Linked DNA regions of Tamandua tetradactyla. The protein of the gene in region 2 interacts with the protein of the main gene of each other region in a pairwise test. Links are inferred from orthologs where the notes say so. Each region holds a gene or a part of one and is shown on either strand. Other genes may lie near its edges.

Region 1 (7,640 bases), on a different chromosome or scaffold from region 2:
GGGGGATGGGTGTCAGCCTGGAACCGGGGAACCCACAGGGTCCCAGGGCCTCGAAGCAGTATCTGGCGCCTCCCAGACATCTGGATTTCACGGACAAGTACAAATAGATTTCAAGTGAGGGCTACAGAAGGTGCCAGCTCTCTACTTTGCTAATAAAAGTATTTCTTGAAGTCAAGCAAGCAGGGCCGGTCGGGAGGGTCTGCACACCCCGTGACACAGTCTGCGCTTCTCTCATTGTGCTGCAGCCTGGAAGAATGTTCCGGCTGGACCAGCGCCAGAAACCTGTGGCCCCGGAGCCTCTGAGGGCCACCCAGGTATCCAGGAAGGGGGTCTGGGAGCCTGTGTTTTCACTGGAGTCTCCAGGTTCCTGAAGGGCTCAGACCCTGCCCTCGGTTTCCCCACCTGTCATGTAGAGTGACAACTCTTGGTGTGGATGGGCTGGGGGCACTGTCTCCATCCCAGCGCCCAATTCCAACGGTACAGCCAGGGGCCTACTGGGAGCCCCCCTGCCCCACCCTCTGTGCTCTGGCAAATCAGAGAGGTCTGAGGCATCACTGGCTGGTCCCTAGCAAAGGCTCAGCCCTCCGGGACCCCCAGCAGGGTCCCAGAGAAAAGGAACCAGCCCAGGGCAGGAGGGCAGGATCACAGCTGCACAGCTAGCCCCTGAGAAGCCCCCCTATGCCCCGTGGCTGATTGTTGGGGGCCTGGCCAGCAGATCCCTGCTGGGACCTCAGCCTCAATGGAGCTGGGCAGCTGTGCGGGGTCAGAGGCTTGGGCTCTAGTCTTGCTCCGTCCTTATTAGCTGCAGGGCCAGGCAGGAGTCTGGGGGACCCCACAGGGCCGACAAAGGGCCTATCGGCCCTACCCACCCCGTGGCTGTGATCACTTTCATAGGTTCTTTCAGGACATGTCCCCCTCCTGCTGCCCCAACCCCACTCACACTGCTGGCTGCCCTGGGAGGGCCCGGGGAGGACCCCACCAGCCAGGGAAAGGGCTTGGGCGGCCTTGGGCCAGGGGTGCCTCAGTGGCAGCGATGGGTGAGGCTCAGCCCCCCTCGGACCTCCTCGGGCCCTCTAGTCCCCGGCCCCTCTTCTGTTTCCATCAGAATTGTTCATAATAAAAAACAGGAAAGCAGAGAAAAGGGGGGTGAGGGTTGGGGGGGGCATTTGGCAGGATGAGGTCGGACTTCCGGCTGGTGGGGAACAATGCCCAGAGGCTGCAGTGGGAGGTGGTGGGAACCTCGTGGGGGGGGTCCAAAAGGTGGGGCTGGGGGTCCAGAGCCATCTGCCTAGAATATTGGAATACCATCCCCACCCGGCTGGCTCGGACTTCCCCTCCAGGTGTCTGTCCCACAGGGGCACTCCCCCAGGAGCCCCACCCAGCACTGCCCACCCCCCACCCACAGGGTGCTGGTCCACCCAGCTCCGTCTTATCACTGGGCTCACGCCCCCTTGGTGCTCGCAGGGTGCTGCCCACCCCACCCACCAGGTTCCTGACGCCCCCCCCCCCCCCCGTGGTCGGGTTGACTGGAGGTTGGGGGGGCCACTGCTGGTGCTGGTAGCCTGGGCCCCCCAGGGCTCTGCAGCAGGCTGGATGGAACCAGCTCCTGGCCGAGACCCCGCGGACAATACCTACCGCTCAGGGACCTCGGACCATGGGCCAGGGGCCCCCCCAGGCACATGGCCTTGGACCTTTACCACCAGGCCAGAAGGGCGTTTCGCAGACAGAGAAACAGGCTCAGAGCATTTCTGAAGGTCACCAGGGAGGGTGCGTGGGGCTCACCCAGGGCTCTCCCAGCTGGCCTACCTCCACTAGGAACCCCACCGCCACACCCCCACACCCCAATTCCTCTCCTGCCCTGCCAGGCCTGGGTGGACCCCACTGTGCCCCGGCGACACTTAACCATCCTTCCCTTTCATCTCGGTAAGGGGTGGGGGGGTGGGGGGAGGGGGGGAGGTGCGGGCAGGGGGTGGGGGGCGGAGCAGGTGTGGGGAGGGCGGGAGGACCTTCAGTGACCTGGCACCAGCCTTCCACTGCGGGCAGGAAGTCATGGCACACACGGGGCCCCACACCTGCCTCCCTTGTGAGGCCAGGTGGGTCCTGGGCAAAGGCCATGAGTCCAGGAGGGCCCTTCCTGCCCTGACCCCAGGACAGCCCTGGCTGCCTGAGAAGGTGGGTGGGCTCGACCAGAGCTGGTTCCTTCATGGCAGGCCCTGAGCCTGTAGGGCATGGGAGGGCCCCTTCTGGGATCACCCCAAAGCACAGGGTAGCAAGAGTCCTGGTGCTGGAACCCTGGGGCAGTCAGAAGCCAGGCCTCCAGAGGGAAGGTGACTTGCTCAAGGTCACCGTGGGGTGGGGGGCAAGGCAGACTCTTGCACACTGTCAGCTGGGGGGAAGCCGGGTCAGATGATGGAGCCGGGGTTGCTAGGTCCTTCTTAGGGCCTTTTTTTAAAAACCTTGTTTTCTTAAGCAGGGAATATAGGCAATAACTTCTTTTTTATGGTGTGGGGCCTCAGGAAGCAGGGTCCAGCCCTGCTGAGGTGGGGGGGGGGGGCTTCCTTTCGCCCAGGGGCAGGGACGTGCCATCGCAGCATCCGCAGGCGGCATCCCCCCCCCCTCCCCAACCACCCCTAGGCACCCGGAATCCCGAGCCGTCTCCCAACGCCCTACCCCACACCCAGCCCTCATTAACCCCTTTTGTCCTGACACCAGTGACCCCCGGCCCCGCCGGGCCCCACCCCCACGGCTGCCGAAACCACTGGGGTCTCCGGCGCGGCCCGAGCGCGCCGCAATAGGGACCCGGGCCTGCACTGCCGGGGGCGCACGGCCCGGGTGGGGGGCCGGCGGCTGGAGGGGGCGGGGAGGTGGGGCGGGTGGGGGTGGGGAGCTCCGGGCCAGAGAGGGCGGGGCCGGGCGCCCCGTTACCTGCAGGCCTTTGGAGAACGGGCAGAAGAGCACCAGGTGCGCCAGGCGCCGCAGCCGCCGCATGGTGGGCGCGGGCCGGGGGCTGCGGCGGGGCCCGGGGCTCACCCCGCACGGCCCCGCTCGGCCCAGCTCGGTCCCGTCGGCCCTGCTCAGCCCCGGCCCAGCCGCAACGGCCACGGCGCCCTGGCCATGCGGGCCGGTGCCAGCTCCCGCCGCCCGGGAGCCGCGCCGCCTCCGAGCCCGAGCGGGCTGTGTGCGCCCCCGCCGCCCCCGCGCGCCCCCGCCTGCGTTAAAGGCGGCGCGCGCGCCTTTCTGTCGGCCGACCGCTAGGCGGGGGCGCGCGCGGGAGGGACTCAGCCAGAGGGAGGTGCCCGGCCTCGGCTCCCCGCGCTTCCCGGGCTCCGCACGCCCCAGCTCTGTCCCCGCGGGAGAGGAGAGGGAGGAGCTCCGCCAGCGCGTGACAGCCCCTCGCCCCTTAGGACATTTCCAGATGGCCCCGGCGGCCCCTGTGGGGAGAGGGACGCGGTGGTGGGTGTGGGGGAGGACGGATGAGCAGGGACCGCCTGCGGGGCACTGGGGCGAGGGAAGGGCGCTTGGCGGCAGCCTGGGAGGGTAGCCTGTTGGATGGAGCCGCAGGCCTGGCTCCGCTCCTGAGCCGGGGTGGAGGGACAGTGGACGCCTGCGGGTGCGCGCATTTTCCCCCGTCCTTTCTGTTAAGACGTCCTTGGCAGGCAGAAAAATGCTCCTTCTTACTTTAAAGTTCCCAAGTGTTTGCAGACCACCCTATCCCTGTCAGGACAGGGACCTTCCCTTCACCGAAAATATGCGCCCCAGGGCCCCCTTCTAGCCAGGCCCTCCCCTCCGGTCCTTGGCAAACAGTGATGGGTGTTTTGTGACAAATGGTACCGTGAGATGGCGGTGCAAGGAGCAGGCTGTGAATGGGTAACAGAGGCTGGGCTGCCTGGGGACTGTTAGGGAGCCCAGGCCACCTTTCCAGGTGGGGATGGAGGCGAAAGGAGCAATTGAAGTGGTCAGGGGGTTCAGGGCGACTCTCCAGTGAGGATGGAGGGCTGGGAAGGAGATGGGCATTGGGGTGGGGGAGGGACAGTCCAGGGTCAAGGCTGCCTCCCCAGACCTGGGGTGGTACTCTGTCTCACCAGGGGCAGGAGTGACTGTCCCCCCCATCCAGACAGTAGGCCCAGCCCAAGGGGGCTCCTGACCTCTCCAACCCAGCCAATCCCATTTGCTGATGCTTCTCTGGAAACCAGGTCTGGGGAGGGGAGGGGAGGGGAGGGGAGGGAAGGCAGGGCCGGGAGTTGCCCTCGCAAAGGGCAGACACAAAGCCCACCTCTGGGCCTGGGGTCTGAGGATCCCCCCACACACACACTCCATGAAACAGACCAGGAATGGAGGCCCCCGTGCCTCTTTGTCATGGTGCCAGCCTCCCTATGCCAGGCCTGCCCTATCAATAGATTATTTCCCCAGCGCTGGGAGCCAAGCCTGGGATTCTTCCAGGGTCACTGGGGGAAACACCCGCTGGCCAGGGGAGGGGAGCATGGGGCTGGGGGTTGGGGGGAGCTGCACTGGGCTCCCTGCACTGCCCCTAGACAGGGCTGCCCTTTGGCCCTGGCATTTCTCTGGGCCAGTCTGGTTGCTGGTGTTCGACAGCTTCTCTTTTTTTTGCATGGACAGGCACTGGGAAACGAACCTGGGTCTCCGGCATGGCAGGCGAGAACTCTGCCACTGAGCCACCGTGGGCCCACCCTTGGCAGCTTCTCTTGAGCCATCGAGCCTTGGAGGATGTGGGAGACCTGGAAAGCAGGACAGCCCCAGGCCCAGCACTTACAGGCTGCAGGCAGCTCACGGTGTGTGTGAGAAGCCAGTGGCTTCTATCCCTCTGCCAGGAGTGCAGGGGACTCGGTGGGGGGGGAGGGGGGAAGCGTCCCAAGACTGGGCCTCTGGGCATGGTGGTGAGCGGCCCTGCCCGTTCTAGGACCCCGACAGAGGGTGGGTGGTGGGCAGGCAGGCTGCGCCCTACTCCGCCCAGAAAAATAGCAGAGCCCGGGGCAGGCCATGGTGGCTCAGCAGGCAGAATTCTTGCCTGCCATGCCGGAGACCCGGGTTTGATTCCCAGTGCATGCCCATGCAAAAAGAAAAACCAAAACAAACAAACAGAAATAGATAGCAGAGCCTGGAGGATGGCCCAGTGGTTCCGGAATAGGAGCCGCTCATTCCAGAACCATCTGGGGAGCATGGGAGATCCACTGTTGTGGCTTGAATTGTACCCTGAAAAGACACACTCAAGACCTCACCCTAGTCCCATGAGCGCGACCTTTGGAAGTTGGGTCTTTGAAGATGGGACCAGTTAAGATGAGGTCACACAGGAGTACCCAAAGAGGAAAAGGCTTCTCCCTGAAGGTTTCACAGGGAACCCGCTCCCCTCCCCCCAGCCCCGGCATCTCGTCTTCTGGCCTCCAGAGCTGGGGGAGAATGGATGTCTGCCGAGCCTCCTCACCACTTCTCTGCAGGGCTGGCAGCCCCAGGAAACTGTTGCACCCACTTCGGCAAGATAACTGTATCCATTTTCTATTGCTACTGTTACAAGGTAGTGCAAACTTAGCTGTTTAACCCAACACAAGTGTAGTATCGCAGACTCCTGTAGGCCAGAAGTGGGGTTCGCTGAGCTGGAGTCTCTGCTTGGGATGTCACAAGCCAAAATCAGGATGTTCGTGGGGCCCTGGTCCTTTCTGAGGCTCAGGGTGGTGAATCGCTCTCATGCTCCTCCAGGGCATTGGCGGAATCCACTTCCTTGTGGCCGCGGGGCCCCACTTCCTTGCTGGCTGTTGGCTGGGGTGGCTCATTTCTAAAGGGCCCCCGTCTCCCTTGGCTTGTGACCCCCCTTTCTCTGCGTGCAAACCCAGCGGCGGCCAGCCAAGTTGCTCATGTTTCCTGTCCCTCCGACCTCTCTTTCTCCCAGGATGTCCCACCACCTCTAAGTCAAAAGCCTCGGGGGCCCCTGCAAAACCCCTTTCGCCATATTCCCAGGTCGTGAGAATGAGGGTGTGGGTGTCTCTGAGGGGGCATTGTCCCCTGCCTGAGGTCTAGGAGGGGACCTCGGAAGAGGGAACCTGGTACCCCCTCCCTGGCCCACCTGTGGCCCAGGTCTGGGGCTCAGACTTCTCCTCTGTAAACTTGGCCCCCCCCTGGGCTCCCTCCCCAGCCGCTGCACCCCCACAGCCCCCAAGCCTGCAGGGAATTCCAACCCTCCCTGGAATACTTGGGAAGGCTGCAAGCCAGATGTTTCTGTGCCTGGTGCTGATTGCTTCCATCAGTCTCCCCACCTCCCCTACCCCTAGGCTGTCTGTTTTTACCTTTTAATTGGAAAAAATTTCAGACTTAGAGAAAGGCTGCAAAACAACACAAATAATTTCTATGTTCCTTTCACCCACTTTCCCCAATTGTGGCATCTTACCATATTTGCTTTATCATTCTCTCTAGTTCTTTTTTCAGGAACATATGAGAGTAAGTTGCCACCACAAAGCCCTGTCACTTCCAAAGGCATCAATATCTGTTTCCTTAAAACAAGGATATTTGTCACCATGACACTGCATGGTGCTCCAAACCAGGAATGAAGATTGATGCAATATTTTGTCTAACCCACAGATGTTCAGAATTCCTCATCAGAATTCCTCTGACATCTTTCACAACAAAAGAAAACACTTTTTTGTTTGTTTCTTTGTTTTTCGGTCCAGGACTGCATGAAGTCCCCAAAGCTTCCTCCACCCTGGGACAGTACCTCCAGCTTTCGCAAAATGTCATGACCCTGACGTTTTGGGGGATTATGGGCCAGTTGTTTCATAGCATGCCCTTCGATTTGGCCTGCTGCTCATCCGTGATTAGATTAAGTGTGTGCATTTGGGGTAGGGATGTCACAGAAATGAACCTGTGTCTGGTGGCCATAGCTAAGTTGTGTCTCTGCTCAATCTGGAAGGAAAAGACTTTTTTGCCCCTTTGTATTTAAAACATATCTTTCACACTATGGAAAAAGCTTGTTTCTGACGCTGGTTTCCGCATCTGTGGATGATTCTTTCTTTACTTTTTTTTTTTTTAATTAATTTAAAAAAAAGAAATTAACACAACATTTAGAAATCATTCCATTCTACATATGCAATCAGTAATTCTTAATATCATCACATAGATGTATGATCATCATTTCTTAGTACATTTGCATCGATTTAGGAAAAGAACTAGCAAAACAACAGAAAAAGATATAGAATGTTAATATAGAGAAAAAAATAAAAATAATAATAATTAATAAATATATATAAAAAAGGAAAAAGAAAAAAACAAAAGACACAAGCAAACAAAACTATAGCTCAGATGCAGCTTCATTCAGTGTTTTAACATAATTACATTACAATTAGGTATTATTGTGCTGTCCATTTTTGAGTTTTTGTATCTAGTCCTGTTGCACAGTCTGTATCCCTTCAGCTCCAATTACCCATTATCTTACCCTGTTTCTAACTCCTGCTGGACTCTGTTACCAATGACATATTCCAAGTTTATTCTCAAATGTCGGTTCACATCAGTGGGACCATACAGTATTTGTCCTTTAGTTTTTGGCTAGACTCACTCAGCATAATGTTCTCTAGGTTCATCCATGTTATTACATGCTTCGTAAGTTTATTCTGTCTTAAAGCTGCATAATATTCCAT
Region 2 (7,982 bases):
ACTGTATGGATGAATCTATTAAAAATTTTTTTTCTTAATTCAAACTGGAGTGTACACATCTGGTAAGTCACCTCAATGCTACACTTTCATGTAGTGATGACTTGAATTAGGGTATTTCTCTGACTCGTGAACAACAATAATGTATCTTTTCTGACCCAGTAATTTCACCTCAAAAAATCTACATAAGAAAGCAATTAGAAACCGGGGCCAAAATTTGGGTGGAAAGATGCTCATCAAAGCATCACTTAATCACTGAAAAAACGCAAAACTGAATTTTTAACAATAGAATGGTAAAATAAACTGTACACAATGGACTCTAAGCAGCCATTAAATTTTTCCTAAATTTTAAATATATACCCAATGACATGGGAAAATACCCTATAATGTCACAATTATGCCAGGTGCTGCTTATACGTATTACCACATTTAATCCTTACAATTAACTGTATGAAATAGGTGCATTATTATTATTTACTCTTCATTACAGATGAAGAAATGGTGACTCAAGAAGCTTAAGTAACCTGACACCATCACAGGGGTAGGGAGTGTCTGATTCCAAGCCTGTAGTGGTTAAGAGATCCCTACTATCCTAAGAGACTGCCAGAAGCTGCTCCCATACAAACTCCTTCACAGAAGGAGAATTACAGAGGCCACAGGACTTTCTGTTCATGGGGGATTCCTCTCTGAACATCCAGTCACCGAATTTGGGGCATCACAATACCGTCATTACTTCTGAGCTAAGAGCTGTCCTAATACTTTGAAATGATCCAAAGCTCATCACATACATTCTCCCCTCATAGAGAGAGTACATACTCATAATCTGAAAGGGAGAGCAAAGTCTCACATCCAAGCAAGTGACTTAGAATGACAACCTTTAGTATGAGGTCAAATACTAGTTGACTCAGTAAGTACTTTTTGGAAGGCAGAGCTGAGTGCACTAGTATGGCAGAAAAAGAAGGAACTGAATGGTCCAAGATGGCCTTACTTATACTTACGGCACTTGGTACTAGCTCAGCTGGACCCCTTTCTCTTTTGGGTCTTTCATCCTCAAGGACGTTAGTTCAAACTTCTTCATATGGCAGCAATATTCTGAAAGGGTGTGAGCAGTGGCTCTAAGATCTCTTGAGGCCTTGCTTAGAAGCTATGCAATACCACATCTACTGCATTCTCTTCGTCAAAGCAAGTCACAGAGCTAGTCCAAAGCAAGGGGTGGGAAAATACACTCCACCTCTTGATGAGAGGAGTTACAATGAATTTATGGCCATTTTATATCCACCATACTGTATATACTACCTGAATATCAGCCTTGTGCTTAGAAAAGAAGCCTGGAAGAAAATCAACCAATTATACAGATTAATTTTTGTAAGCCTTTTGTATTTCTACATATCTCAAAATTTAAAAATCAGTATGCATTACTTTTATAACATAAAGAAAAATATGACACTTTCCACAATAATTTAATGGAGCAGGCTGGACAGTTTCACTTTGGCATCAAAATGAACAGAGTTCCTTCTTTTCTAGCTCTTCCACTTCCTGGCTTTGACAACTTCTTGACCCCACTAAGCCTGTATTTTTCAACGGCAAAAATGGAGATAACTTTACCTACTTCACAAGATAGTTGTAAGGATCAAATAAGACAATGAATGCAAAATGCCTAGAAAAGTGCTTAGGTGTTTTTCCATCCCTTTGTACTCTCCCCTCACTAGGTCCTCCTCAGTTACAGTTCTTTTCCTCACGAAGATTAAGTTTTGTTGTAGTAAATTACACACATGTCTCCAAAATTAAACTGTATACCCTGAGGACTGGATTCAAAACTTAGTAATCCTCTATAACTTCAAAGTACCTAGCACAAGTCTGATATGTGCTCATTAAAACCTGTTGATTCGTGGACTTATTAACCAAATAAAAGTTTTCCAAATGCTTGGTAGTTAATCCCTTTTTATGCAGGTTTCAATATAAATCCTGGTATCAAGAGGGAGTAATGGTTCATCCCTACTGCTGCTATCTATGATGAAATTAATCTAAAAATCTCAAAAGCACAACTTGAATCACTGCCACGAAGAAAATTCAAATTACTTAGGATTCTAAGCTTCTACAGATGCACAGACACACTCACGATGGGATTTTTTTAGCCACGTGTTTCTCAGAATGGGCTTTTCTTGTCATAAGGACAAAGCGATGCATAAGAGCATGAAACTTAAACTGGAAAAACAAAATACATTAAAAGAAATAAGAATGCATTTTAATAAGACAAACACTATTCTAAAATACTAAACAACCCAAATAGGAAATGGTCTTTTTTTGCTCCAACTAGGCAGCCATCATTAGTGCTTAGTCATGGAGGTCTAACTCACTGTTATCAGTAAATCTGTAGTAAGTTCCCCTAAATCCTATAATATTTTAGACAGAAGCAGAGGAGGAAAGGGCTTCTGAATGGTCATCCATGAGGTGTAGCCCATAGTGTCAGGAAAGATCCTACCAGCAGTAGTTTAGGCAGATGAGAATCAATCCTATTTTTAAAGAATTTTGAGAAAGACATGTCACAAATTCCCATGGTGATTCACTGGGCGTGCAATCCTGGGAGGGTAGGATGAGAACATATTTTTGCCTTTTCTACATGCAGATTATTGCTAGCAAAGGCAGAGAATCACTTCTTGCATGTTAGGGTGGTCACTTAGTAATAGTCTGCCCTGTCATCCTACAGACTGAAGACACTGCAGGCCCCTTTTATGATTTTTCTCATTGCGAAAATCATCCTTTAACTCATGGCTGAGCCCAGGCAGGGCTGCTGGAACAGGCCTCTCAGCAGGGTCTGCTTGGAAAGGTGGGTGTGTAAAAGAAAACTCATTCTGCAGAGGCTCGCATTCTTGTTCAGTGAGTACAACCCAGAAGAAAACGATGCACTATGTTCTAGTTTGCTAGCTGCTGGAATGCAATATACCAGAAACAGAATGGCTTTTAAAAAGGTGAATTTAATGAGTTGCTAGTTTACAGTTCTAAGGCCAAGAAAATGTCCCAATTAGAGCAAGTCTAAAGAAATGCCCAATCAAGGGCATCTAGGGAAAGATACCTTGGTTCAAGAAGGCCGATGAAGTTCAGGGTTTCTCTCTCAGCTGGAAGGGCACATGGCAAACACGGCATCATCTGCTAGCTTTCTCTTCTGGCTTCCTATTTCATGAAGCTCCCTGGGAGGTGTCTTCCTTCTTCATCTCCAAAGGTCGCTGGCTGGTGGGCTCTCTGCTTTGTAGTGTTGCTCTCTCTGAATCTCTCTGAATCTCTCATTCTCCAAAATGTTTCCTCTTTTATAGGATTTCAGAAACTAATCAAGGCCCACTCAAATGGGTGGAGACATGTCATCCCCTAATCCAGTTTAACAACCATTCTTAACTAAATCACATCAACCAGGGAGATGATCTCATTACAGTTTCAAATATACAATATTGAATAGGGATTATTCTACCATTAAGAAATGGGATTTATATCAAAACATGGCTTTTTCTTAGGGGGCATACTTCCTTTCAAACCAGCACACACTAGTCCAGGGGTTCTCAAACATTTTGCTACCATGGCATTTAAAACCTGAGGGCCCCAAAGAGCTTACCTTTGAAAATTCTAGAAAACATAAGAAGAATATGCAAGCACATATTCCTTAGTTATCAGAGTGCTGATGACATCAAACAGCTGTGAATTTATACTTGTTTTGAAACAGAAAGTTAAAAAAAATTAAAGACGCACAGAGGATGAAATAAAGTTTATTTCCTAAATATAGGATTACATATTTTTAACTGCAGTTACAGAAGGAGAGAGAAATGGAGTAGAGGTAATATAGGAAGAGTTACTGCCTAAGAATTTTCCAAAATTAATAAAAGACACTAGTCAGTCGATTCAAAAAACTTAATGAATCCAAAGAAAAATTTAATTTCTAAAGATCTATTCCAACATCCATCAGAGAGAAACTGAAGAACACCAGATACAAATAAAAGACACAAAAATACTCAGCAGGAAAAAAAAACAGGTATTAATTTTAAAAGAGTGACAACGCACTTTTCAACAGCAATGGAAGGCAGAAAATAGTCCAATGATATATCACTATGTTGAAAGAAAATAACATCTAACCTCAAATTCTATAAGCAGTGACCAAAAAATCCTTCTAGAATTTTAAGATGAATTAAAGACATATTTAGACAAAACTGTGAAAGTCTGACAAAAGACAACGTTCGAAAGGAAATATAAAGAATTTACCTGAGGGAGAACGAAAGTGTTTCCAGCGGGAAGGTCAGAGATTTAAGAAGGAATAAAAGGGGGGGGTAAGAATGAAACCATTTTGTTAACTCTAAAAAAAATTTACAAGTATAAGAAAACAATGACTGAGGAACCCAAATAGCTTACCTTAGAAATTTCTAGAAAACACAAGATTATACAAGCACCCATTCCTTTAGTCATCAAAGGTATGACTACAACAGATCAGGTGGCGCCGGGGAAATTCCAGTGAGAGTAACAAAAAGCAAATGACGTCTTTCTATTACTATGAAAATAGTTTTGTCATCGTCCCGGGACCACACTTTGAGTGCCGTGCTTTAATTCTTCTCCAACTACCCAAGGCCAGGTCTCTTGGGTTTGCTTCACCGACTGCAAAGAAGGTTGGGGGCGACAGGGTGAATTCCTTTCTTCACTTTTGCAAAGGTTACCCCGGGGCGCACGAACCCCGTGGTCGGGTCTCGGGGAAGGTAACACACGGCACCACTAGAGGGCGCCGCCAAGCAATCCTTTCACCACCCCTCCGCCGCCACCCCCGCTCAGGCCTGCGGCGTTCACACGGTCCTCCAGACACCAGGGCGATGCCGGGAAAAGGGAACGGTGCCCCAGGGAAGCGGGAGAGGCGGATGGGGGGCGGGGCCGAGGGGCCGACCGCGGTCTCATTGGACGAGGTGCCTTCGCCTCACGGCCCTGGGCGGGGCTTCCTCGCGCTCAAAAGCTCTGCTGGTTCACTGCCGGGACGCGCAGTTTCAAGTCGCAGCTTCGCGGAAGCTCCCCCGCCGCTACCTTGGTTCGCTGGGTCATGGTGCCAGCCTGACTAGAAAGAGGAAGCTCCCGGGAGACGAATGAGGAACCACCTCCTCCTGCTGTTCAAGTACAGGGGCCTGGTCCGCAAAGGAAAGAGAAGCAAAAGACGAAAATGGCTAAATTCGTGATTCGCCCGGCCACCGCCGCCGACTGCAGTGACATCCTGCGGCTGATCAAGGTAGCGGGAGGCCAGGGACGCCTCCCGGGGCGAGGGTTGAGGCGGGGGCCGAGGGGGGGCGTCGCTCCGTTTCCGGGAGGGTCCGCGTTTCCCAGCCTGGGCTGGTGTCCAGCCAGTGCTGCCCCATTCTCCGCCCACCTCCCCCAGTCCTGGCCCGGCAGGACTCAGGGGGACGAATCGCCACCCCTCCCATCCCCGCCTCATTCACTGGTCGTCCGCCCTCCCTCGACTTGATCCGCCCCTCCCCGAATTGGCCGGAGCCTCACTTTGTTTTCTGCATCTCTCCCTTTCTCTTTTCTGCCTCGCCCCAGGAACTGGCTAAATATGAATACATGGAAGAGCAAGTACTATTAACTGAAAAAGGTAACACGGCAGTGGGGAGGAGGGGAGGAGACGAACGCCCAGTGCCGGGCACCCTCGCCGAGGCCAACACTGTCCCTGCTGCCCCTTTTTTCTTGCAGATCTGCTAGAGGATGGTTTCGGAGAGCACCCCTTCTACCACTGCCTGGTTGCAGAAGTGCCCAAAGAGTACTGGACCCCGGAAGGTATCCACCCAACCCCTTGCCAGTCAGAGACCGAGTGTTGTGTAAAACGTAGCGCCTGCTATGTAGAGCCACTGACTACACAGGTCGAGTTACTTATTGATAAGTCGGTTAGGAATAATAGCCAGCCAGTGTTGAGGAAAAAAGAAAAGAAAAAAAAAAACCGGAGATGTGCTGCACTTAATAATAGGGCGGGTGAAAGAGCTGTTTAAGTATCAGAGCACTGCGGAAACCCGCAAAAGTTAGGTATAATGTCATTTGTTGTAATTCCGTTTCATAAAATGGTTCTTGTTTGACCCTAACGTAACCTTTTTTTGTAATTGTGTTAAATCACATTTTTTTCTTTAATTTGTCCCAATCTTCAGGTTACAGTCTCTAGCTTCGCCATGTACATGGCCCTTCCGTGTACATGGATGGGCGGGGAGGTAACTAAAAGATCCTTTACACAATAAAGTAGATGATCATGATAAATGAGGTAAGGTCCTATTATCACACACTTAAAACACGGTAGATCAGAAACTCCATTACACTTGCTTCCTGTGCTTGCAAAGGAATATAAAATGGCTAGAAAGTTTTAATTTGAAACCTTTGCCTCCCTTTGGAGTTATAGACACCCATAAGAGGGAGTCAGATGTTTTGTTTTGTTTTGTTTTGTTGCTGGTCCCTGTTAACTGGTCACAAGACAGAGCTAAAAAGGGGAAGTTCTTTGGGTGGAAGCTTTCTTAAATGTTTTCTGAAGTTTGTTCCCCAAGCTAGAAGAAATGAGCAGAAAATAGGAGGGATGAAGTACTTTTTAGATGTGAATGTCAAAGCAGCTTTTTCTGGGTACCACTGCTGCTTCTGGCCTCAAAACTGGGGAGAACAAATTGAAAATGTGTGAATTGGAAGGCAAGTTTGGAAATGAAAACGTTGAGTTTTTGGCCTGATGTTCTGACCTTAAGGAAGCAGAGTTTCGAAAAGTACAAGTATTTACTATTCTGAACTGCCGTGTAAATCTGACTTACTTCAAGTCAACATACCAGTATATCAGTGGGATGTAAATAATGTGTGTGTTTCGTTTAAGACCCTAGCAGTTTAGCTCTGGCAAGTAATTAAAGCACTCTCACTTCCTGAGTGAGATCCAGCAGATCTCAGAGTGGCTAGTTCCCTGACCTAGCCTGGCTTCAACTAGCTTTAATGTGTGCTTTTGCAAATACATGTTATGAAAACAGTGAGATCATCCAACAGTGGCCCGGACTGCACTAGTATAAAAGTTAAAAGACAGTCCATTTCAGTGGCTACTCTTCAGTATTTATGCATGTATGTTTTTTTATACCTATGATAGGCTTCTAATTTTGCAGCTACAACTTTGATGGATTATTTTTCTTCTCCATTACTCATATGATACTCTTAATTGCAGGACACAACATTGTTGGTTTTGCCATGTACTATTTTACATATGACCCATGGATTGGCAAGCTATTATATCTTGAGGACTTCTTCGTAATGAGTGATTATAGAGGTATGGTTGAGTTTGGGGCTGGGTCAGGGGCAGTTCTAAGGGGAAATTTAGGGCTTTAAGTCCTTAAAATGACTTTAAAATTGTATTCTTTCTTTTAGGTTTTGGCATTGGATCAGAAATTCTAAAGAATCTAAGCCAGGTATGTCTTAGTTTTGGGTTTCCAAATTAAGGGTTACTGGATTATTTTAATGACTGAATCAAAATTGGGTCTTGGAGAGCAGATAAGATGTCACTGAGTTTCTATATTACTCTCTCTTATAATAGGTTGCGATGAAATGTCGCTGCAGCAGCATGCACTTCTTGGTGGCAGAATGGAATGAACCATCTATCAACTTTTACAAAAGAAGAGGTGCTTCTGATCTGTCCAGTGAGGAAGGATGGCGACTCTTCAAAATTGACAAGGAGTACTTACTAAAAATGGCAACAGAGGAGTGAGGAGTGCTAATGTAGACAATGACAAGTTCCATTCTACTTAGAATAAATTTTCAACCTGTCTTGCTTTCTATCCTGTTTGTAGTAGAGTAATAGAATGAGCACCCATTCCAAAGCTTTATTACCAGTGGCGTTGTTGCATGTTTGAAATGCAGTCTGTTTAAAATGGCAATTGTGTATGCAGTTTGGAGTCATAGTTTTCCTTGAACATCTTTTGATTAAACAAGGTGGTGTGATCTTAATATATATGAAAAAAACTTCACTC
Region 3 (7,192 bases), on a different chromosome or scaffold from region 2:
ACATCCTTCCTACCCATTTGGACTTGGCTACAGAGAAGCAAAGTTCAGGCTGATTATAATGGCTCAAATGGTAGGAGGCTTTCCAGAACTTTCCCTCCAAACTCAAGGCTCTAAGAATCTTCTGTTTAAAACCTACAGCATCTCTTTAGGTTGACACTGAAAACTGTCTGGGGGAGGGCGGGGGTGTGTGTGTGTGCGCAGAAAGCTTTCCTTCCAACAATGTGCCAGAGAGAATTTCTAAAACAGCTCCATAGTGGGGGTACTTTATTCTTTTAAATCTGTGAAACTAAGCATTCATTTTCTCATTCCTATGAGACCAGGTGTGCTTTTTGGAAACAAAGGACATTCAGAGCCCAGGATGGTGACCGAGTAGGGTGCCTGATGTCGGTCACATCATTTTAGCCAAGAAGGAAGAGGCTGCGAGAACCAAGATCTGCTTTTGACCCTTTATTTCTGCTCATTCTCATAAAACACCAAGAAAATTTAGGCCTTTCTCAGTTCTACCATGTTGCAGGGGACCTCATCTGGTGTCATTTTCTGTATCTATCCCCTTCTTAGGGTCCATGCCTCAAAAAGTAGTCACTGGAGGATAACTTATTTGATAATCAACCCATCCCTCTTCTCTAGAAATGAATGACCATGCTATACATAAAACTCTAACAGTGGCAGGCACATAGTATGCACTCAGTTATTGCTGCTATTTTTAACACCACTATTTATCCATTAGGTTTGTAGCTCTTTGCAGAATGAATGTTTATCTTAACCATCTTTCTTATCCCCAGTCATGGAAAAGTGCCCGATCCAGGGCAGGCACTCAATACATACTACCTCATAAATCTTATACCTGGAATGTATTTGTAAATCCTTCAATGTCTTGAATAAACTGCTGACTCAGAGCAGACAAAAGAACTAAAAGAAACCCAGGAGGGTGGTTGAGACCCCAGGAGTGGTGAGTGGGATATGCTTCATAACTGCCCACATGTTGGGGCAGCCAGTATTTATTGTGGGTAGGAAATCATTTCCCAGTCACTGTCTGGAGTTGGAAGGCAGGGCATGCTCCAGGCCCAGTGTCTGAAATGGTCTATTAAAGCATGGGCATAGCTTATATACATCCTTCCTAGCCATTTGGACTTGGCTACAGAGAAGCGAAGTTTATACATATATATATAAAATAGAGACAGGGGATGGGCTCATTGCAGCTGCTTCTCCTGAAAGGTCATATAATATGATTTGCATCCCATTTCCTGATCCAATGAAGGCAATCTTCCCAAAAGGGCTCAAGAATAGAGGCCCTGAAGATCTCCTCCTCTCACCTCTAGCACCATGGGAGGGCTGCTGGGCAGGCAAATGCTCCACTGTCTCCTTGATCCTCATCACAACTAGAAGACTGTAGCCTTTACCCCTCGGTTTCTTCAGAGAGGTTCAGAGAGGTTAAGCGACTGGCTCAAAGCCACACAGTTAACCGGTGGCCAAAGATGGACTATGAATCTAGGAGCAGCAGCACGGAGAAGGAAGGTCAGGCCTGAGCTGTCTAGAAGGTCCTGAAGGGGGAAACCACCTGTTAGTAAATAAAGGTTAAAGGCCACTGTGGGCTGCTCTTAAATCCAAGGAAAAGGAATGGGAATGACTAATCTGGAACTACCCAGAGGCAATTTTCCTGCCCAATAAAACCGCACAGCTGAATACAACCGTAAGGGTTGCAAGGTCCCCTGCAGGCTGAGTGTCCATACACCTCCAAGGTCCCCTGCAGCCTGAGTGTCCATATCGCCTGCCTTTTCTCACCTCCCCAAGACACCTCCATGGGCCCTGCAGAAAGGTTACCCAACAATGGCAGTAGTTGGAGTGCACTTAGCAATGCACCAAATCACATCCTTCCGCATCAGCCCGGGATCACCAGTCTTACGAAGCACAGGGAGGGTCAGGGGACTGGAACCTAGGCTTTTCTGACCCCGGAGCCCTCGCTGTTAACCGCCCTGACAGATAACCAGCTCCTCCTCTTCCAGATCCCGAGCGTACGGGGTGTCCCAAGTCCCCGGCCAGGAGGAAAAGGAGGATCCGCTAACAAAGTACGCGACGCCGCAGCGCGGAAGATTCCTTCCCCGAAGCTTCAGCGCCTACCGTCGGGGCCGCCTTCCCCCCACCCGGCGCACTGAGCGGCGGGGGAAGTGCAAGAAACCCCGCGGGAAAGCCAGGGAGGAAGCGCGCCGCGGAGAGGCGCGGGCCGAGGCGGGAGGAGGCGGGAGGCGCAGTTACCTTTCCCACGACGGTCCCGACGGCCGGAGCTCGCAGCCTCCTCGTCCCTCTGGAGCGAGGGTCTGGGGCCGCTCTACCGAAAATGAAAGTAAAATCCCCAGCGCCGCAGAAGGAGGGGCCGCCCCGGGCAGGACGAGAAACCGGGCGGGGCTGCGGGCGCCGCCTGCGGTTCGGGAGAGTGCGCCCCGCAAAGCTCGGTCGCGCGCGAAGTGGCCCGGGCCACGCGAAGGGGCAGCAGGCCCTGCAGACTCGGCCGCGCGCCTCCCCATGCCACAGCGCCACGTCCCACGGCTGCCCCCTTGTCTGAGACCTCCACCCGGGGCCTCTGCACAGCGCGGGGCCCTAGCTCTCGCAGTCATTAGCTCTTGTCCAACCAGACCCTTGACCCCAGCCCGTGCGGCTCCGGTCCCGGTAGGGTGAGGCTCCGCGTGCATACCTGCCTGAGTTACTTTCTCCCTAGGCCGAGACCCCTCCGGCCCGCCGGGGGTGTGCTGTGGTGTCCGGCTTCCGGGACTTTGTTTCCACTCGCCGGTGTGCCCTCCTTCGCGCGTGGGCGCAAGGATGCTAACTCAGCTTTCTCTTAAGCAAGTCCCAACCCTCGCTTTACAGCGCGCTCGGCGCGCGGTGCAGCCAGGCTCATTCACGAAGTATTTATGGAGCGCCCTCATGTGTCAGGCACTGGGTATGTGGCCCTGAGGAAGTCAAGAATGAGAGGGACAGGGGCTTCCACTGAAACACCTCACCCCTGCCCCGACACCCCGCTACCCCTCCTCAGCGCACGCGCGCACGCGCAAACACACACGCGTCCTTCTTCACCCCTGGGTTTTCGTTGGAGCCCTCTAATGTCTTTCCCAAATCCCTCAGAGGAACAATTAATTACCTCAGGCACTGAAGTGTAACTATCTGGGAAGAAATTGTAGTTTTATTCGTACCGGAGAGATTGGCTTTTAAAGAACCATCAAAGCCCTGAACCAAAGGAGCTCAGCCTTCATGGTGGACTTCAGGCAAAAACCAGGTCTTGTCTCTGCCTGCTTTCTCCTAGGACTGAGACTTCACTGTTGTCTCTAAAATCTCACCAAGGGCACTTTCTTGGTTTGAAGAAAGACTGGCCTAGGTAAGTGCAAGGGAGTAATTAGTTATAATTAACTTCTGTGAAAATTCTGAATTCCTGAATATATTTACATGCAGCTATGCCGTTTCTAATGATTGCTGCACTGCTTTTTATTTAATACCCATTTCCTGAAATTTTGGAACCATTTTAGGCACTAAGATAATGAGCTTTTCAAAGGAATTCAGTTGTGAATCATTTGAGAAATGAAAAATGCTATTAATAAAGCAAATAAATTACTTTCAGCATGCGAATGTTAAAATATGTTAACACAGGAATTCATTGCTGGCCCAATTGGAAAGGTGGATTGAAGGAAAACTTTCTTTTCTCAGGTTTTTATTGTAGACTGGGGTGAGGAACGCCAAAGTTATTGGTCTGAGTCTGGATTATAGCCGTAGCAAATAAAATTACGGAAACGTGGAAGGGAAGAAATTATTTGAAACTTTTCCCTCAATAATAATTGAACTGATAGTTTTGATCCGTATGATATTCTCTTCTAAATGCATCTTCCGTGTCTCTCCATTCTTAGGCCAATTAATTATCTTCTCCTTTTTATATTTACATGATTATAACATGAGCCTTTTCTCTTCCCTCACTATTCTGATGGTTTCCTGAGACTTGGCCTCACAAGGGCCCCTCCACTTTTTGCTCACCAGGATATTGCCCTTAATTCTGGTGAGTCCCCCACTCCTGCCCTACTGGGCACAGCACCCCCAAGTGGTGCTACCAGGGATTGCTACTCACAGTTTCCACAGGACAGTTCAAGCCCAGCTGTGACTTTATACGTGACTCCACCAAGATCCCCAGAAATATCACTCTTAAATCCAAACTCTGGCCCTTGGGGGTCACCAGAAAGCCTCTATGAGCCCAGATGGGAATGAAAGTCCCACCAAGGAGGTATCTTCCCCACTTAGGGTCCAGCAGAATCCTTTTCTTCCCTGAAAGGAGGCATTCCTGTTATATCTGTCATTAATCTGTCATTAATTATTTGGAGCCTCTTGGCTCCAAATGCATCCTTTTTTCCTGGCTGTGAAAATGTAACTGGGCCCTTTAAGGATTTTTCCTTTCAGCCAAAGCCTGTTTCCAGTAGAGGGCGCTGGAGAGACATTGCGGGAGGAAGAGGTTTTCCTTCCTGGTCTCCTCCTGCAGCACGGTGCTCGTGCATCAGGAGTAGCTGCCCCAGCGCCCAGTTCCTGCAGCACAAGTGGCTTCTCCAGTGTCCAGGTCCTGTTGTGCCTAGTGGCCAGCAACACCTGGCCACACCCAGCAGCCAGCAACTTCCTCAGGCACCCCTCGCAGGTGGTTTTGTGGCAGAGTGCTTCCAGTGAGGATAGCTCTCGCTGACACCTAGAGGGCGAATACCTGGAAAGTTCCAGAGGACATATTTCTAGCAAGTTCCGCTGGCACAGTACCACAGTGACTTCTCTGCCTTCTACAGCAAGGTTTGGATCTCAGACCTGGGAAAAGGAGGTGGGGTGGGGGTGGGGGTAGGGAGGGAGGGTGTCTTCTTTGGGCCCTCTATCTCAGTTCCAGGGGTTAGTGGTTATATTATATTTTATCTTGCATTAACTATATTATATTATTTTATGTTATGTTTTATATTATATCTGGAATTCCTATTTTTTTGGTGTTCTTTTTACTTCTTACTAGCCAATATCTTGATATTCCAATCCTCTGTTATAGTTAGTAATTTTTTTAATTTTATTATTTATTTATTTATTTTTTGGTGGGAGGGAAGTCCATGGTCCGGGAATCTCCAGCATGGTAGGCGAGAATTCTACCACTGAACTACCCTTGCACCGGCCTAGTTAGTAATTTTTTATATCAACTTTTCCCTGTTCAAATGACTGTGTGGGTTCTTTCTGCTGACTGTACTACAGGTAAATACAGTCCACTTGTATACCCCAGTCTATAGGCTGTCTCATTTCTCACTCTATGGCCTCAGCAGTGGGAATATCTATTTCTTAATTTGTACAGAAACCTCCACTCCACCCACATGGTTTGTTGTGGTCCCCTGGCCCAGGAAAAGGCAACCTCAGGGACTGGATTACATCCCCCAAGGTCTGAGCTATTCAGACTTGAATCGCTCCATTAGACTTAACTAAGTCCTATTCCTTTCTCTACCTTTGTCTTTCCTCTCCCTCCCCAAGAAAATATCAGGTCTGGGCATTCCACTGGCTCCTGTGAACAATCCCTTAGAAACAGAGGTTGGCAAACTCTGCCCTGGGGGCTGCCCATGGTCTGTATTTGTACAGCACACATGCCAAGAATGGTTTTTGCATTTTTAAAGAGTAGAAAAAAAAGAGAGAAATAAGATGTGACAGAGACTGTAGGTGGTCTGCAAAGCCTTTTGACGACTCCTATATTAGGCAGAAAAGGACAATCACAACTCCAAAGCAAAGAGTAATTTTTAACTAAAAGGTGGTCTCAAACCAGATTTAGGTTTCAGGGGAGGGAAAATATTTCTCTAACTTTCCTGGGCAGAGTCCTTGTTGAATCCTATTAGCAAACAAATTGTTTAACATCTCAGAGTGAGGTGTGGGCATTAGGTAACTTCACCAACATTCAGGGATTCATCGGAGTAATAGATGAGTAGATACTTGCTTGATTATCATTGCCAGCATCTCGGCCTCACTGCTGCAGGGAGCTGAGCTCTGAAACCACTGACACCCCACCACCCTCAGCCACTGCCCCCGTCTGCAGGTGCTCATGGAACTTCACTCCGTTCCTCTAACCCCAGGCAAACATTCTCCAGCAATCTTCCCCAGGAGTCCTGTAAGCCCCAAAGAGAGAAAACGAGGGTGGGTGGGGCCGTCTGACCTGGGGAAGAGCTAGGACATTGCTTCCTGAAGTCTCCTGTCCAAAGGCGTGAAAGCAGAGGCTTGAAGGAGCCTCCGGCAATTGATGCCATCATAGTGCCTCTCATATAAACACTTTCTCGGCACCACAGTCACAGTTTCTCTGAGTGACTCTTGGGGTACCCCATGCCACATCCCCTAGGCTCACTGTGTTTAGCTCCATGCATGTTGCCAGCCCCTCCTCTCTGCTTCCCTATCTCTGGGCTTTCTCCAGAGCTGCAGAGGTTTCTTCAGCCTGAGCAACCAGGGGCTCCCTACAGATGCAGGGAATGAACCCTCAACCAAGGGTAGAGGGGAGTGGGTGGACAGGTGCTCCAGCTTGCCATCCTTTGGTGGGACATTCTACGTGATTCAGCAGAGGGTCCCAGTGAGAGTGAACCCTCAGCTGCCCTCAGCAGTAATTAGGTCAGAACAGACCCTTTATTGATACTACCTTTTCCCTCACTTGCCATTTGTCATCTCTATGTAATTTCACAACTGTTTCACATTCACTGCCCTAGTGGGCCCTGGAAGTGATTCAGACCCGAGAAGAATGAGCTCATCCCCCAGATGACAGAACCAAGGTACAAAATATCTTGGCCTGCTAAAGCAAGAGGGTCACCATCAACAAGAGGAGATTTAAGCAAGTTAAATAAGGAATGCTGTTTTTCAGTTTAAAAAGGAAACTGATTGTCTATATACTGAATATAATAATGAGATGAAAAGCTGTGTGTAGATTCATCGATGACCAGCTCCTTATGAGTCAAGGTTTATCAGTCAAGGTGACCTGGGGTTGTGTTGGCAGAATCATCCAGATCAAGGACAGATAAGCCTCCATGTGGTCTGGTTCTGGCTCATCACCGCCAAGCCCAGTCCTGGACTCTTGCTGATGGGACAATGTATTGGATGCCATTCAGGGACTACTTTAGATCTGCTTGGCTTCACCCGTCTTAGGGCCTTTGGCTACTGCTTCCAGCCCAGCCTCTGCTGTGAC
Region 4 (7,703 bases), on a different chromosome or scaffold from region 2:
TCTACTTGGGCTGCTGACTTCTCCGTCCTTCCTTTCACCTCTGACATCCTGGGAGGGAGGTTTGGCAGATTTCATTACTTTACAGTTAACACCCCCACTCAGGAAGTGTGGAAGAACCGAAGTTTGAACTGGTGTGCAGATTCGATGTAATCCCTGTTTTGGAGGCTATTTGTGTGAAGGCTGAGGGTTTGGGGGACTTGATTTCCTCTCCGTGGAACAAGTGTCCCCACACCTTGCTCCTTTCCAAAGTGGGTCTGGACACTAGTCTTGGGTCAAAAGAAATAACTCTGGGTGCTTGGGAACATAGATTTGGGGACTTTTCTAATTTTTTGTACCCAGGGGTGATTTTGCATGACACAGTTATGCGAGGGTTTGCACACCGGCTTGTTTCTCCCCGTCTCTCCTCCACACTTGTGTGGGACACACGCATGAACAGGTTACAGTACCTAAACCCCCGTGCCCATCATTACCCTGAAATGAGGATCAACCGATGTGAACGGTCCCGGCAGTTTTGGGTAAGAACGTACGGAAAAAGATGTCATGTTCGGCCAAAAAAAAGTCATGAAATTTCATGACCTCTTCTGGGCCAATATATTTCCTTCACCATCTGAAGAAATGTTTGGAGAAGAAGTTGAATCAAATCCAGATTTGTTACATGTATTTTTCAAGGTTACAGTGTATATCCCACTTGATTATCAAGCCAAGGGCCAGATTTTCAAGTGAGGCTTCAAATCAACTAAGATTTTACAGGCGCAATTCAAATACACATATACCTAAGTTTCTTGTTCTCTCCATAGGTGTTATGGTTATAAAAATGGACAAACAAGTTCTTTGGGTTATAGATTATATATGAGCAGAATTGTAAACCCACATCATTCACAGGGGTTATATGGATGATTAGGTCTCATAAACGGATGCTCAAGCACGTCCAGTATTATAGTTGGGTAGATTTATTTATTATGTATTCTCTGCATAATGTAGAACACAGTGCCTTTGCACACTGGTTCCCCATAAAGAAATATTTATTTGAAACATATGCACAGGACGCACACATCTATTCAAATACAGTATGCTTAAATTTCAGGTTAACATATTAATTAAAAACAAGCTATTTTCTCCTTTTTCCCATTTATTACTCTTGTTTTCCATTTTTCTTCTCTCTTTCATCTTCCTTTCCTCTAGATTTTCTCTTTCTTCCCGAGTAGTGACAAGAACCCTTCCGAAAGCCGCCCCACCTCAGTCACTCACCAGCTTGTCCTGGCCGGGGTCCGCCTCTGCTCTCCCCACCTCGGCTTTGCTTTTGGCTGCTCTGGGCCCCAGTGAGACCAGGGAATGTAGCTTTTCCCTTCCTGTCCTTCCCTGAGCTATTAGCTCCAGTTGTGCTCAGGCGCGGCTGCTGCGCAGGAAATGGCAAGAGGCTGGGAGGGAAGGCAGGGTTTTCCTTCTCTCCTCTTTAGGACTGGGGGTGGGGTGGGGGTGGGGTGGAGATGGCATGGTGACCCCCATGGAAGTGACCCCCTCGCTTAAGCAACTTTAGAAGTCAGGCTCTAGAGGCTGCAATCCTGTTCCCCCTTCTATCATGACAGATACCATTGTCTGGGGAGAAAACAATATCTTTGGGGAGGGGGGTCCACAGGCCCCCAGAGCACCCCAGGAAAGAGCCTCCTTCTCAGCCTATCCATTAAAATATTTGCCAGAGATGGAGCTGAGCACCAGCTTCAGGCAGCAGTGCATTTTAGGAGGCCTGGTTGGGCTGGGAAACATTACTTGGTGCATCTGCAGCCCCACCTGGAGGGAGATGAACTGGGAGTGGGGGGAGAGGGCAGATTCTAGGGCTTGGGGGCAGTTAATTCTCTTCCCTCCAGTCACCTCTCCCGAGAAGACTGAGACCTTCAAAACCTATTATTCTGAAATTGTTTCCACCAGCCAGCTTCTGCTTGTGCAGAGGCTAAACTCTGGTCTCAGAAGAGAAGCCAGGATTCCTTCCTCACTCAACACACAGGAACCATCAGAGGTTAGGGGCAACTCCCTGGGCAGTCAGAAGCCCACAAAATCTGAAATCTGTCTGCTGGAACATTTCTCCCTGGTAGGTCACAAGCCCTAAGCCGAAACGTCCTTCTCTTCTAACCACTTCCCTAAACTAAGTGGCTTTCTTGGCTCCCCTTATTACAAAAAGAGGTGGCTGGGAAGCAAGGGCTGGGGACTCAGAGAGTGGCTGTCAGAGCCCAGTGCCTGCCCAGCTTTGGTCCTAAGAACAGCCCAGTGCTGTGACTTTTCCATAAATAAAAAAGGACCAACCCACAGTTCACATGTCCTTTTGGGCCCTAATTTATATACTACAGAAAATCATATACTCAGCCCGCCATGCTTCATAACACCGTTATTTATGGGGGGTGGATTTTTTTTCTTCCTAAAGGATATATTTATTACAGGTAATGCCGACAGCTGACTCCATGCGTCTGGCAAATCAAGAACAGGTGCTTTGCCTTAACTGTGATTCATTCGTTCTGCGCCCAGCTTTCTCGCTGGCAGATCTGGGGAGCTCCCCCGACTTTCCCAAGCATCCAACCGCTACTTAGAAGAATTTGCATGGATTTTTTGTTTCCCCACTTGAGTCCCATGGAAAAAAAAAACAGATCTTCACGCTGTTTGGTTCTGGATCTGCTGGGCTATCGCCCTCGGAGAGCGGGGGTGAAAAAGGAGGGGGCCGGCTGGGTGCCGGCATTGATCTTTAAAAAATCATTTTGAAATCGCCATAATGTGAAGAAATATGGCGCTTCGCCCTCGTATTTCACACATAATGACACGAGATGGCTTCATTTGGAAAGAAAAGCTGGCGGGAATGCGTCTGTGCGTGTGCGGAGGTGATCTGCAGCTTTCTGCATGGCCGAGGGGTACGTGGCCAAAAAAGATGCAGCCCCAAGTTAGAATGGCCCCTGGTTTTGTTAAAGGGACGGGGCTGGGAGTAAGGCTGGGGCTTTGGGAGCTGCCTTCCGTGTAACAGCCCAAGGTCAGAGAACTGCGAAAGAAAATGAGTCCCAACCCAACCTTTCAACCCAGCCGAGGGGAACTGGGTCTGTCCAGGGACTGCGCCTCCCATACACCCCTAACCTTAAGAGGCGGTGCACCAGAGCAGGGGCTGGGAGAGAAAATGGCTGGGAGATGAGCCAGGAAGTCAGCCGGTGTCCTCAGTGGAGTCCGAGCACAGGGCCGCATAGTAGATGCCAATAAAACCCGTTATTTGAAAGCACCACGAAGGGGGTCCGCGGGCGCCCAGGCGGCAGGAGGGCAGAGGCTGTGACCCAGCCATACTCCTTATCTACCGCTGGTGCGTATACGGGTATTTATAAATCGGTTCGGAGCTGCATCCCCGCCAGGGCAAGCGAACCAAAAACTCGGCCTTCTGCCTTTCCTCACTGGGTAGCGGTGGGGATAACTCGGGACCCCTTCCCATGCTGGCTGGGTGCCCTTTCCCATGGCTCCACTCAAGTGACACCTCGGGGAGGTCCCCTTAACCCTTTCTCACGTTCAGCTCCACCATCTGGGCAATTTTCGGTTCTGGCAGTTACTCAGTTAAGGAAGAGAGAAACGGCTGGGCCCCACGCCCCCCGTCCATCCCTCTGGCCAGCGTCAGAGACTGGCCCAAGAGATTTAAAGGAGCGTTTGGCTAGTTGTATTAAACTCTTTGGAGGCTCAAGTTTCCAGGCCTTGATGAATCCCTTTAACCTCAGTCAGGTTCTAATTTCAGGATAGATAGCGGATCCCGGGCACCCACCCCTTTTTATTCCCCTCTCTCCTCCCTCAGCTACTGAGGGGTCAGGGAAAGTGCTGAGAGCAAGGCCTGCAAACGTCCAAAAATAGTGCACAGAGAGCTCCCTCCAAAGCTGATAAAGTCCCATAAAATCTCAACTTCTCCCCCATCCCCTTTACTTCATCTCTAGTGGATTGCTGCTGCTGCTGCTGTTGTTTAATAAACATCTTATGTCAAGGGGACAGAGGAGAGGAAACGCGGGCCTGCGGGATGGAGGGGGGGGCGAGACCACCTCCTCTTTAATTATCCTGACGGGCTTCTCTGGCTGCTCCTCTGGCTCGGGCTCTCTCCCTCCCTCTAGCCCCTGCGCTCCCTCCCTCCGTTCCTCCCTACCCGACCCGCCTGGGGAGAGGGCTCCACAGCCTGCGTCCCTCCCGAGGCAGCCCGCTGCTTTCCCTCCGCCTCTCCTCCGCCCCCGCCGCCCCATGTCGAGAACTGCCCCCCCCTTCCTGGAAAGGGGGGTGGGGTTGGGTGGCAACCAGGAGGCCGGCAGCTCGGGCTGAGGTTACGTGTCCGCCGGAGCCCTGACGTGATAGCACATTGCATCAGCATAAAACAATCCATCCTCGATATGGAATGCGGTGCGGACGGATGACAGCGAGAGCGCAGCCCCCTCGCCCGATTGATTTATGTCGGAGCTGACGCTTTATCAGGCAGTCGGAAAAACTTTGACCAATCATTTTGCAAGGAGCGCTGAGCCAGGCTGCTCCACTGTACTTTGTTGGCTGAGAAGTTGATCAGGGGGTGGGGGTGGGAGGGTGGGGGGCTGGGGGGGGGTCGCGTCCGAAAGCCCTCACACCGGTCCGGGTGCCACCTCTCCCTGCTTGGGCGCCGCCGCGCGAGCGCTTCCCTTCCCCCTGCGAGCGCCCGGATAATGTCTGAGAATGTCCATTTCTGGGACGCTTAGCAGCTATTATGTCGACTCGATCATAAGTCACGAGAGTGAGGACGCGCCTCCAGCCAAGTTTCCTTCCGGCCAGTACGCGAGCCCGCGGCAGCCGGGCCACGCCGAGCACCTGGAGTTCCCCTCGTGCAGCTTCCAGCCCAAAGCGCCGGTGTTCGGCGCCTCCTGGGCGCCGCTGAGCCCGCACGCATCCGGAAGCCTGCCGTCCGTCTACCACCCCTACATCCAGCCCCAGGGCGTCCCGCCGGCCGAGAGCAGGTACCTCCGCACCTGGCTGGAGCCCGCGCCGCGCGGCGAGGCTGCCCCGGGGCAGGGCCAGGCAGCCGTGAAGGCGGAGCCGCTGCTGGGCGCGCCTGGGGAGCTGCTCAAACAGGGCACACCCGAGTACAGTTTGGAAACTTCGGCGGGCAGGGAGGCTGTCCTGTCTAATCAAAGACCCAACTACGGGGACAATAAAATTTGCGAAGGAAGCGAGGACAAAGAAAGGCCGGATCAAAGTAAGTTATAAAAAGTGAGGAAATACCCAGGCCGAAGGCCAGGCCAGGGGGAGGGGAGGGGAGGGGAGAGGCAATAAACTGCGGACAATGTGAAGGAAAACGCGGCGGTGGCCGGAGAGCGAGCGGGGGAGGAGGGAAATGGGGGGAAGGAAGGAAGGCAGGCAGGTAGGAAGGAAGGGAGGGGAGGAGGAAGAATAGAAAAAAGCGGGCAGGGAGGAAGCTGGGCGCCCCAGAAGAGAGACCGAGGCCACTTGAGGGGCACCGCCCCCACTCTTCCAAGTCCTGGAGGGAACTGGGGCGCGGGGACCAACTCGCTGCTCTCTCGCCCTCCCTTCCCCCTCTCTCCCGGAGGCCCCAGCTGAAAGCCCGGGAGGAGGCCGGCGACGGTCGGCAGAGGAACTGGCGGGGGCCGGGGCGGTCTGCCAGCGAGGGCGAGAATCCGCGCGGCGAGGGAGGGAACAGGGGAGCTGCTCGGGACCGCGCCGCTGGCGGAGCTCGCTGCGCCACGCGCAGACCGTAAAAGCCGGCCAAGGGGAAGGGGGAGGGGGCTCATTAGGATTTTATTTGCGATGCAACAGCTTGGCCGAGGATTGTTCAGAGCAGATCTTGCGCAGTAGCCGAGCGGGTCCCGAGCCGGCGCCGAGAGGGGCGGGGGCAATCCAGGACGCAGTGACTGAGCCCTCTCCCTGGATGCGCCGGCCCCTCCCCAGGAGCCTTCCCTCCGGTCGCCCCCTCCCCTCCTCGGCATCCTCGCCCGGGTGGCCGCTTTTCTTTCTGCGGCCCCGGCTGCTGTCCACGGGGCTCCCTGGCCCCAACCGGGGCTGTCCGTTTTGCGGGGAGTGGGGGAATCGCTTCGGAACTTCGGGGCTGACCGCGGGAGTGAAGGAGAAGAGATCCCGAAGGGCCCCTGGGGAAAGGAGGGGTGGAGAGGAAGACGCGATGCCGAGAGGCAGAGGCGAAGAACTTTATCCTCTGTCGGTAGTTTGGTAGTTTCTCGTCACCTCCCACTCCGCCAAGAGCACCCCTGCCGGGACCCCAAGTCTGGCTAATTTCCAGGAAGTGGTGCTCACAGAGAGGGGAAATCGCGGTTCTTTTCTTTTCTTTTTTTTTAAGGTTAAGAAAGGCACATCAGCAAAAATTTTCAGCCATTCCAACTGCCCCTCTGAACTCCTCCCCTCTCCACTTAGATGAGATAGCCCGGAATTTCTATGCCATGTCAGTCAGCGCCTACACTCCCTGACAGGAAAGAAAAAAAAAAAAAAAAAAAAAAAAAAAAAAAAAAAAAAAAAAAGAAAGGCACATCAGTTAGGGACTCAGCTTTGAACAATAACCCGCAGGCTGGAGGGCACAAGTCAACCCTTTACTCTTCTTGGGCAGTGAGAGGCAGATATTTTAGCCTCCACTTGCCCTGCCAGATTTCCCAGTGACACAGTGGCCACTGGCTCTTTGTGGAGTCCTTGCCTGCTGTAGGGGAGGACTGTCCAGTTCCCTGAGATCCCCGCAGGGTCCTGCCTCCTCACACCTGCCAGGTTGAATCACAAGAGCTGGCTTTTGGGGGGATGCGGCTCTTCCCAAATCCTCCCGCACGCACGGGAACAGACCCCACACCTCAAACCCCGGAACTCTGCCTGGAAAGCCCATTATTGCAAGGCAACTGCTTGGCTAGGATCAATTATTAACAGATTTTCCCCCCTCTTTCATATTTAATGTGACTGCGGGTCCCATCCCAGACAATCACATTAAGGAAATAGCGCTGCAAATTGGTAAGACACGGTACTTAGTGTAGGATGAACCGGGTTATTATTACTTTTTTAAATAGTCAATGCTTTTCATTTGGGGAGAAGGAAGCTAACAGAGGGTGGCTGTTATTTTTAATTGGCTTGGTTTTTAATTGGAGAATATTCTCAGTTCCAAGGAAGGGAAGAAGGTAAGAACAAGAAGTCTGTACAATTTTTACTTCTTCCTTTCTTCCCCTCCTCCATTCAATTACCCCTTTCTCTGCGCAACCCCCCCCCCAACTTGGGGCCAGTTAAGGCTAGGTGGGATGTGAAGAGCTTTCTCTTAACTCCCTATCATCCCTGGCTCCCCATCTTGGGAATGGAGCAATCTTGCTCCCCAATTTCCCTGAACTTGTATTAACCAAACTGCGAGCTGAGCAGGCATGGAAGAGGAAAGACTATTACAACCATAAGTTATCTGTGAGTCCCTGGTGCTCCCTGGCCCATAGACTGGAATTGATAAATGGTTGCAATTGGGTTGCTTGTGAATTGGAGTGTGCTGGATGTTTGCGTCTCTAACTGTGGACTTATATTTGCGGTGTGTATGTCGGGGGGAGGTGTCTACACAGACACAACGCCTGCTGCCATGTGGCCAAGCACCCTGGTGATCTAGGCAAGGTTGTATGTGGACTGAGGGACTTGGAGGTCTCTTGGTTGTGGCTGAACAGAAAGCTCCCCTCAACCCCTTCTCTCATCTCCCATATCTGGACCTG

Evidence for each region.
Region 1: the proteins of SAT1 (region 2) and DIPK1B interact in binary tests that used the Homo sapiens proteins (3 or more experiments, as listed by UniProt). The two-hybrid records come from large-scale screens. The link is inferred for Tamandua tetradactyla from reciprocal best matches to the Homo sapiens genes SAT1 and DIPK1B.
Region 3: the proteins of SAT1 (region 2) and CASP7 interact in binary tests that used the Homo sapiens proteins (3 or more experiments, as listed by UniProt). The two-hybrid records come from large-scale screens. The link is inferred for Tamandua tetradactyla from reciprocal best matches to the Homo sapiens genes SAT1 and CASP7.
Region 4: the proteins of SAT1 (region 2) and HOXB9 interact in binary tests that used the Homo sapiens proteins (3 or more experiments, as listed by UniProt). The two-hybrid records come from large-scale screens. The link is inferred for Tamandua tetradactyla from reciprocal best matches to the Homo sapiens genes SAT1 and HOXB9.

Annotation. Positions count from the first base shown.
Region 1 is NC_135328.1:126,292,891-126,300,530, reverse strand, and holds the start of DIPK1B (divergent protein kinase domain 1B), read right to left. Parts: upstream 3,003-7,640; 5' UTR 2,989-3,002; coding exon 2,926-2,988; intron 1-2,925.
Region 2 is NC_135353.1:150,556,249-150,564,230, reverse strand, and holds the start of SAT1 (diamine acetyltransferase 1), read left to right. Parts: upstream 1-4,976; 5' UTR 4,977-5,176; coding exon 5,177-5,242; intron 5,243-5,553; coding exon 5,554-5,605; intron 5,606-5,703; coding exon 5,704-5,787; intron 5,788-7,183; coding exon 7,184-7,285; intron 7,286-7,383; coding exon 7,384-7,424; intron 7,425-7,549; coding exon 7,550-7,720; 3' UTR 7,721-7,982. UniProt on the Homo sapiens protein: Enzyme which catalyzes the acetylation of polyamines. Substrate specificity: norspermidine = spermidine >> spermine > N(1)-acetylspermine. This highly regulated enzyme allows a fine attenuation of the intracellular concentration of polyamines.
Region 3 is NC_135339.1:75,620,144-75,627,335, reverse strand, and holds the start of CASP7 (caspase-7), read right to left. Parts: upstream 3,010-7,192; 5' UTR 2,690-3,009; intron 2,386-2,689; exon of another isoform or gene 2,254-2,385; intron 1,542-2,253; 5' UTR 1,326-1,541; coding exon 1,314-1,325; intron 1-1,313. UniProt on the Homo sapiens protein: Thiol protease involved in different programmed cell death processes, such as apoptosis, pyroptosis or granzyme-mediated programmed cell death, by proteolytically cleaving target proteins.
Region 4 is NC_135332.1:29,880,678-29,888,380, reverse strand, and holds the start of HOXB9 (homeobox protein Hox-B9), read left to right. Parts: upstream 1-4,695; coding exon 4,696-5,212; intron 5,213-7,703. UniProt on the Homo sapiens protein: Sequence-specific transcription factor which is part of a developmental regulatory system that provides cells with specific positional identities on the anterior-posterior axis.